Oryza sativa Japonica Group: one gene and its partner. The protein of the gene in region 1 binds, or shares a complex with, the protein of each later gene. Links are inferred from orthologs where the notes say so. Each region holds a gene or a part of one and is shown on either strand. Other genes may lie near its edges.

Evidence for each region.
Region 2: histone-lysine N-methyltransferase EZ1 (region 1) and histone-binding protein MSI1 homolog share a complex: the UniProt entries of both Arabidopsis thaliana proteins name them as parts of the plant homeodomain / polycomb repressive complex. The link is inferred for Oryza sativa Japonica Group from reciprocal best matches to the Arabidopsis thaliana genes SWN and MSI1.

What each region holds. Positions count from the first base shown.
Region 1 is NC_089037.1:11,010,166-11,014,603, reverse strand, and holds the start of histone-lysine N-methyltransferase EZ1, read left to right. Parts: upstream 1-1,506; 5' UTR 1,507-1,564; coding exon 1,565-1,615; intron 1,616-1,702; coding exon 1,703-1,813; intron 1,814-1,934; coding exon 1,935-2,272; intron 2,273-2,846; exon of another isoform or gene 2,847-2,851; coding exon 2,852-3,010; intron 3,011-3,628; coding exon 3,629-3,713; intron 3,714-3,831; coding exon 3,832-3,969; intron 3,970-4,088; coding exon 4,089-4,136; intron 4,137-4,287; coding exon 4,288-4,359; intron 4,360-4,438. UniProt on the Arabidopsis thaliana protein: Polycomb group (PcG) protein. Catalytic subunit of some PcG multiprotein complex, which methylates 'Lys-27' of histone H3, leading to transcriptional repression of the affected target genes, mainly abscisic acid (ABA) responsive elements.
Region 2 is NC_089037.1:25,484,253-25,487,330, reverse strand, and holds the end of histone-binding protein MSI1 homolog, read left to right. Parts: intron 1-783; coding exon 784-908; intron 909-1,229; coding exon 1,230-1,325; intron 1,326-1,893; coding exon 1,894-2,122; 3' UTR 2,123-2,282; downstream 2,283-3,078. UniProt on the Arabidopsis thaliana protein: Core histone-binding subunit that may target chromatin assembly factors, chromatin remodeling factors and histone deacetylases to their histone substrates in a manner that is regulated by nucleosomal DNA.

The DNA of each region.
Region 1 (4,438 bases):
CTTCCACACTATGCATACATGTCAATGAGCACTGTCATGACATAAACATTGGGCCCCAAGTCCTCCTCAGCGATAATCCTATGCAGCCACTTTCCCAGGGACAAAGCTCCAAGCTGTGCACACGCTGAAAGAGAGCTAGAAATGATGATTGGATTTGGTCACACGCTAAGTACCAGCATTTGCTCAAAGAGGGCAATTGCCATCTCCGTCCAGCCATTCTAGGCATACCCTGGTATTATTGCTTTCCATGATTCCGATTCCGTGGTCTTCTATGGCATCGCATTGAAGGCCTTCCTTGCAGACTCCATATCATTTAACCTACAGTACAATATGGTAATTGCTGTCGACACTGGAGAATTCGCAGTAAATCCAGACTTGAGAGGACCATGTAAGCATTGATCAAGCAGTTCATTCCCAAACAGACTATACGGGATCAGTGCCAGTGCTCGAGTTTGGCTTCAATTCCAAGGCCATCAACCCAATAAACAGATTAACTGATGAACCAACCATGCAATTCGCCGAGCAAACATAGATTAAGCATTGTAGGCAACCAAATCTGGATTCTCCATCAAGTCAAAGAGACGCCATGCAGAATTCCACATCCCCGCTGTATACACCGAGATCAACCGGTCAGAACATGCTCATACTCCGCCAACCCTCTCTTCAGAACATGCTCATACTCCGCCAACCCTCTCTTCTCTGCAAGAGGCATCCTCCCCAATTCCCCATTGTTATATCTGTTGCTGGTAAGACCGTTGCCAGCGTGGTTGTGTCAGACCGAACAGACTCTGCACTCGCCATCCTCACGAACGACTCCAGGGCCTCCGAACCAGGAAGCCCGGCCGGCCATCAGCGTGTTCCACATAACGGTATCCGGCGACTGCACAGTGTCGAACACCTTGCGTGCGTGGTCACCTCTGGACAGCATGAAGCGTACAGGCTACAGCTTGGCCAATGCGGACGCCACGAACGTGTCGGCGGCGTAACCCGCGCGTGCAGCGCGCCGCGCGCGGGCTGCGGAGTCGGTTGGAGACGACACGCCGCCGCCATGAGAGCAATGAGCGAGGTGGCGGCGAAGGCGAAGGAGAAGTAGTCGAGGCAAGCGGAAGAGAAGGCGGCAGCGGAGAAAGCGATCGGGGCGGCGGAGGAGGTGGGTGGGAGGGAGGGACGCGTAGCGGAGGTCGGAGGAGGAGGGAGCTGAGGTTTCCGGGGCGGGGGTCGAGAGGGTAGTGTACGGAGGCGAGGGACACGGCGAGGATCTGGTCGAGGTAGCGCAGTGTGAAGGAAAGCGCGATGAGGCGGAGGGCGCCGGCGAAGAGCGGCGCGGCGGATAGCGGGAGGAGGCGGCGCCGGCGGGGTCTCATCCGATTGGAAACAGATTGGGAAGGGGGAGGGGGTAGGAATACGTGGCGTCGGCAGTATTAGGTAGAGAGAGAAACCCTTTCCATCCTTTGTCTCTTAGCCCCGAAGGAGAGAGAAAAATCAGAAAAAAAAAACCCTCCGCGTGTGGGGGAAGCAGAGCTCCGGACGCTGGCGCCGCTCGCGCCACCGCACCCGCACCGCCATGGCGTCGTCCTCGTCCAAGGCCTCCGATTCCTCTTCCCAACGCCCCAAGGTGCGCGCCCTCGCCTCAGTCTCGACTCCCCGCGCCCGATTCCCCACTCCGATCTCCTTCCCCAATCTGATCGGCCTCGCTGTGCAGCGGCCGGATCAAGGGCCGTCGGGCAAGGACGCGGCCGGCCTCGTCGCGCTGCACGGGAAGCTGGCGCAGCTGAAGCGTCAGGTCCAATCCACCCGCCTCGCCGCGATCAAGGCAAGCGCCCGCCCGCCGATCACGCATCTCTACAGTTTCAGCTCGCAGGGGGAAGTGTGAGTAGTCGGTTGGATTTTGCTCAATCTGGCGTGGATTGGTTTGGTTTGTGGTTTTTGAGCAGGAGAGGGTGGAGGCGAACAGGAAGGCGCTGCAGGTGCACACGTGCGCTCTGTTCGACGTCGCCGCGGCGGCGGAGGTGGCGTCGCGGGGCGCCGAGGGCGGCAACGCGCTGTCGCGGGGCGCGGCGGAGGGGCACCGCAGGTTCGTGGGGTGGGACTCGGCGAGCGGGCCGGGGGAGAGGGAGTTGGTGCATGTGCAGGAGGAGAATCTGGTCGCCGGGACGCTCGTGCTCTCGAGCTCTGGTGGTAGCGGCGCCTCGCATAGGACCGTCGTGCAGCTTGTGAAGCTGCCTGTGGTCGACAAGATTCCGCCCTACACCACGTGGATCTTCCTGGACAAGTATAATGCTTCTACACGCTCATTGTTCCAATCAGATCACTTGTCGCTAGGTTCTTGAACTTGCAGTTTAAGTTTTACAAGAGTTCAGGAGAAGTTGGTATATTGCCATGTAATACTTCTTAAATAAAAAGTAGGGTATGCCATGTAATGCACCTAGATATGATATTGTGGAAAATATACTACTCAAAATTCACTTATGATGCATGAAGCAAAATTGAACTATTTACCCATACAAGCCATAGAAACCAGACAACATTTTCAGACAGATATTGCAAACTTGGGACTAGTAGAAATATTTGGAATATAAGTGTTAGCTCAAACATTACACTCAGGTAGTGGTGTTCATGTGTTTTTATGTTTGCTGATGAGCGAGAGCACTAGTTTGTGTTAGGATGATGGTCAGTTTGAAAAGATTCAGCTACTTGAACGATGTGTCATGCTACTTATCTTCAGTTTATTTGCTTGATTAATTCCAAAGTGGTATTTATTTTCTCATATACGTGCTGCATTGGTGTAACAAAGAATACTTGATCCCTGTTGTATTCGATATTTTACTCTGGTTTAAACAACACAGCGCAGAAACCAAAGAATGGCCGATGATCAGTCAGTTGGTAGGAGGAGAATTTACTACGACCCAATTGTCAATGAGGCTCTGATCTGCAGTGAAAGTGACGATGATGTTCCAGAGCCAGAGGAAGAGAAACATGTTTTCACAGAAGGAGAAGATCAGCTAATATGGTAAAAACCTGGACATTCAAGAATTCTCTCTTTTTTTTTCATTGAATATGCTGTGATTTTTCCCAATCATGATATCTTTCTGTTGCATTTTCTTTTCAATAAAATGATTCAGATCTAAGTTAAACATGGAAGAAGGCCCAGAGCCATGAACTTACATTAACATAACAAACCATCCGTGCAAAGTTAGTTGCGCTGTGCAGTTGTTTTACTCAGTCTGCATGATTAATCCACCTGTTTTCTACCTTAAGGATCGTGCATACTCTAAGAGCTTCCAACCTTCATGTACCCTGTTAATTCTGAAATGTAGGTGGAAGGTAATGTGTTGTATTAAATCATCTTTTTAGGATGGATCAACGGATGCCATTTTAATTTAACCAATGCATTATTGGTGAAATACTGGCTGGTTTGACTTTACACTTCCAGTTGTGACAATAATCTGTAACCCAAGGGCACCCTTCTTTTATTTACCTTTTACACAATATAATCAGAATAACAATTTCTATTATAAATTATACTGGTAAAAATCGGTAATCATCCCAATACTATCCGCTACCTTCAGAATAAATAAACATTTTTATATGTAAATTTATGTCTATCTGATCTTGCTTAACTATACAGGAAAGCTACTCAAGATCATGGGTTAAGTCGAGAGGTTTTAAATGTCCTCTGCCAGTTTGTTGATGCAACTCCTTCAGAAATTGAGGTTGCCCATTTCTCTTTTATGAACATTTTAGTTCGTCATTACTATTTTTTTTAACTCTGCAGCTGTTTTTTATTATCCTACAATGTGATCATGACTCTTATTCCGATCAAAATACTAGGAAAGATCAGAAGTTCTTTTTGAGAAATATGAGAAGCAGTCTCAATCTTCTTACAAGACAGATTTGCAACTTTTTCTTGACAAGACCATGGATGTGGCTTTAGATTCTTTTGATAATCTCTTCTGTCGGAGATGTTTGGTATATTATACTTCTGGCATTCTGTTGCTTACAGTTCTTTTTTGAATTCCATGTTTTAAACCCCTTTGTTCAACTACATTCGCAAGGTCTGAATTACTTGTTGATATCTATTTATTCAGGTTTTTGATTGCCGTCTCCATGGGTGCTCCCAGAACTTGGTATTCCCTGTAAGTCATAAGTTATTTCCTGTTGGACTCTTGTAAAGTTTTGATCTTTCTACTTTGCTCATCCTATCAATGAATGGAGGCTGTTGTCCTGCCATTTGGTCCAAAGTGAAATTAAAAAAATACCGCTAACTACTAACCTTTTGCTTACCAGAGCGAGAAGCAACCATATGGTCATGAACTTGATGAAAACAAGAGACCGTGTGGCGATCAGTGCTACCTTCGAGTATGTGCCCCCTCAAGTTTTGCAGTTATATCAATTAATAAAGTTGTTTATGATTCCTGAATTTGCATAATTTGCCAGT
Region 2 (3,078 bases), about 14 Mb from region 1:
AATGTTATTATGTCATGGTTAGCAATTTGTGTGGTCTGTTTATTTGTTCTTGCTCGTTAAGTGAGCATGATTATGAATTACTGGTGCAAAACTGAGTATTTTTGGCTTCAATGTTTTGATCATTCTACATTCTGTCTTCAATGTTGTTTTCAGACAAAATCAGATCTCATTTTGATTTTCATGTTGACCTCTGTGTTGTCCAAAACAGTCCTGTTCAGTTTTTTTTTTAAACGTGCCTTATCTCTCATAGTTGCACTCTGATGCTTTCTAGTCTTTACCTATTTGTATTTGCAGGATGTTTTGTTGTACGCACATTGCTTAGTGTTCTCTCCGTATAGTATTCTGGATGAGCCCTTTTTTTTATTTCTGTTTTCCAAAAAAAAGAAAGAGAGAAAGGAACCTGTGTTTACTGTATTTGCATGTCTATTGTCATCTTAGTGGTCAACAGTGGATAGTGGATTGATAGCAGTTTGGCTCTGGTGTTGCGGGTAGTGGGCACTATTCTAATGTGATTTATAGAAAGCGTTTAAATTTAGAATTATATATATGCACAGATATACTTTTGTGTCAATCTAACATGACAAAACTACATATATATATTGACTTAAAAAAATTCAAATACAACTTGCAAAAGTTCTTTTTGGCATTTATCTCAGCATGTATGGTTGCATAGAGGACATCATATACTTCATTTGTGTTTCTTAATAATAAATACTTTAAGCACATGGCTCCCTAAAAATGGTGCAAATTAGTTCCTTCTTTTTAATGTATTGTCTTTTGTAGGTGAATTGTCTGGCTTTCAACCCCTTCAATGAATGGGTTGTTGCAACTGGTTCAACTGACAAGACCGTGAAACTATTTGATCTTCGGAAGATTGATACTTCCCTACACACCTTTGATTGCCACAAGTAAATTTCCAGTAATCCAATGTTAATACTCCCTCCGTTTCACAATGTAAGTCATTCTAGCATTCCCCACATTCATATTGATGTTAATGAATCTAGAGATATATATCTATCTAGATTCATTAACATCAATATGAATGTGGGAAATGCTAGAATGACTTACATTGTGAAACGGAGGGAGTAACTTTTTTGTTTAACACTGCTTCCTCTTTACCTGCCAAAATAACTTTTATCAAAGTATAGCGCACCTGTTTCACTTTGTTGTTCATGCTTTGCCTTTTGTTATCATTACTGGTTTTAAACTTGTAAATATTTCATAATCAGGGAGGAAGTATTTCAAGTTGGATGGAGCCCAAAGAATGAGACTATACTTGCATCTTGTTGTCTTGGCAGAAGGTTAATGGTCTGGGATTTAAGCAGGTAAAAGTCTCAGCTTTCAAGAAATTTTCCAATGCGGTTGGTATTTTTCACATCCTCTGGTGCACAATTTTTTGGAGATTGCATAGTCCTGGGTTTTCTTCTGGATTGGGAACGATAGTGAGCATGGCTCACATTTCAATGGTATAAGTGATACTGTTCATAACTACTTCCTTGGGATTCATAGTCACAGGAAATGGACTCGGTGGCAGCATTCCTCGACCTGGGAACGCTGTCCCTTTCCTGGGAATGTGGGGACATTTTCGTCCCCACCTTGTAAAATCCTCTGGCAAGTAGTATCCCATTGACCTGGGAACTTTGTAACTATGCTTGGGAATACTTGACGCCTCTGTCCCAAGTGTACTTCTGCACTAGGATGTCACATCCTATATTATATTTGTTTATTTTGGGACACATGTAGTATGTCACCATCTTTTGTGTAGAATTGTTGATGTTACACCTTATCTTGATCTTACACTCCACCTTGTATCTGTTCATTGGCTTTCTACTTTTAGTACCATGTGCCAGCCATGTAAAATTCGTTTTCTGATTGACGCCTTGTGTTTTACAGGATTGACCAGGAACAGACACCGGAGGATGCGGAAGATGGTCCTCCGGAGCTCCTGTTCATTCATGGAGGCCATACAAGCAAGATCTCCGACTTCTCCTGGAACCCGTGCGAGGACTGGGTGATTGCTAGCGTCGCTGAGGACAACATCCTTCAGATATGGCAAATGGCAGAGAACATCTACCATGACGAGGATGATGTGCCGACTGATGACCCGGCCAAGGCTCCCTGAAAACCTCCGGTAGGAAAACCAAAAATGAACAAAATAAAACCTTAACTGTGTGACTTTAGGTACCCTCCTTTGTTGTAAGTTGTTGGCCTGGTTGGCAGTTTACAAACAGAATGTCAGTCGTAATACATACCAGTTAGCAACCCGTCTGTCATTGCCGTTGTCATTTCTTTGTGTTGTATCCCTCAATTTATGCTATGACGCTATGCTGAGGCCACGGGGGTTGTATATGACTTCATGCTTAGGGATTTTAGCATTGCTTCAACGTAGGGATTTAAACGTGCTAGATTGGGTTGGTCAAAAAAAAATTAATCCTTTTCTGAAACGGGTTGGGTTGGTCTTTGATTTAACTTCACCCGTCAGATCAATTTCGTGTATTGGTTTGTTAGGATATAACTGTACTGGAGTTGCATGCAGAAGTTCTTCCAAAAAAAAACTTTTGTTGGGAATTGGGATTAGCTTGGTGCCTGAGTAATTAAGCTCTCAACTATATCTTCTGTGCCAACTACATGGTGCACAGGCGATTAGTTTAGATCTGCTCCATTTCATGAAGTATTGACGAATTGCGTGTGTTGGATATTCAGCTTGTATCTCATTGATTGCATTGATAAATCCATAATAGTATAAGTTACTTCCAAAGATTTATTTTGCAACTGTATACACTGTTCAGTTCAGTTGAGCACAACTGTTTTAATTAAAAACAAATTTGTTTTAGACGTAGTGATGTTATGAGCCACAGCTTATATATAGTCCTATATATAAATTCCACGTGATCCAAACCTGACATCCAAAAAAATGGCTCATCTATCTTTTGTGTAATTACATGAAAGATGCATGTGCGCCTACATCATGCTCCTAGACATACGAGTATCTTTTTTGACACGCTCAATAAAAGGAAGCCCAACAATAAATTGATAATTGATAAACCTTACTAAACTTCAACTGAAAATGCACCTACG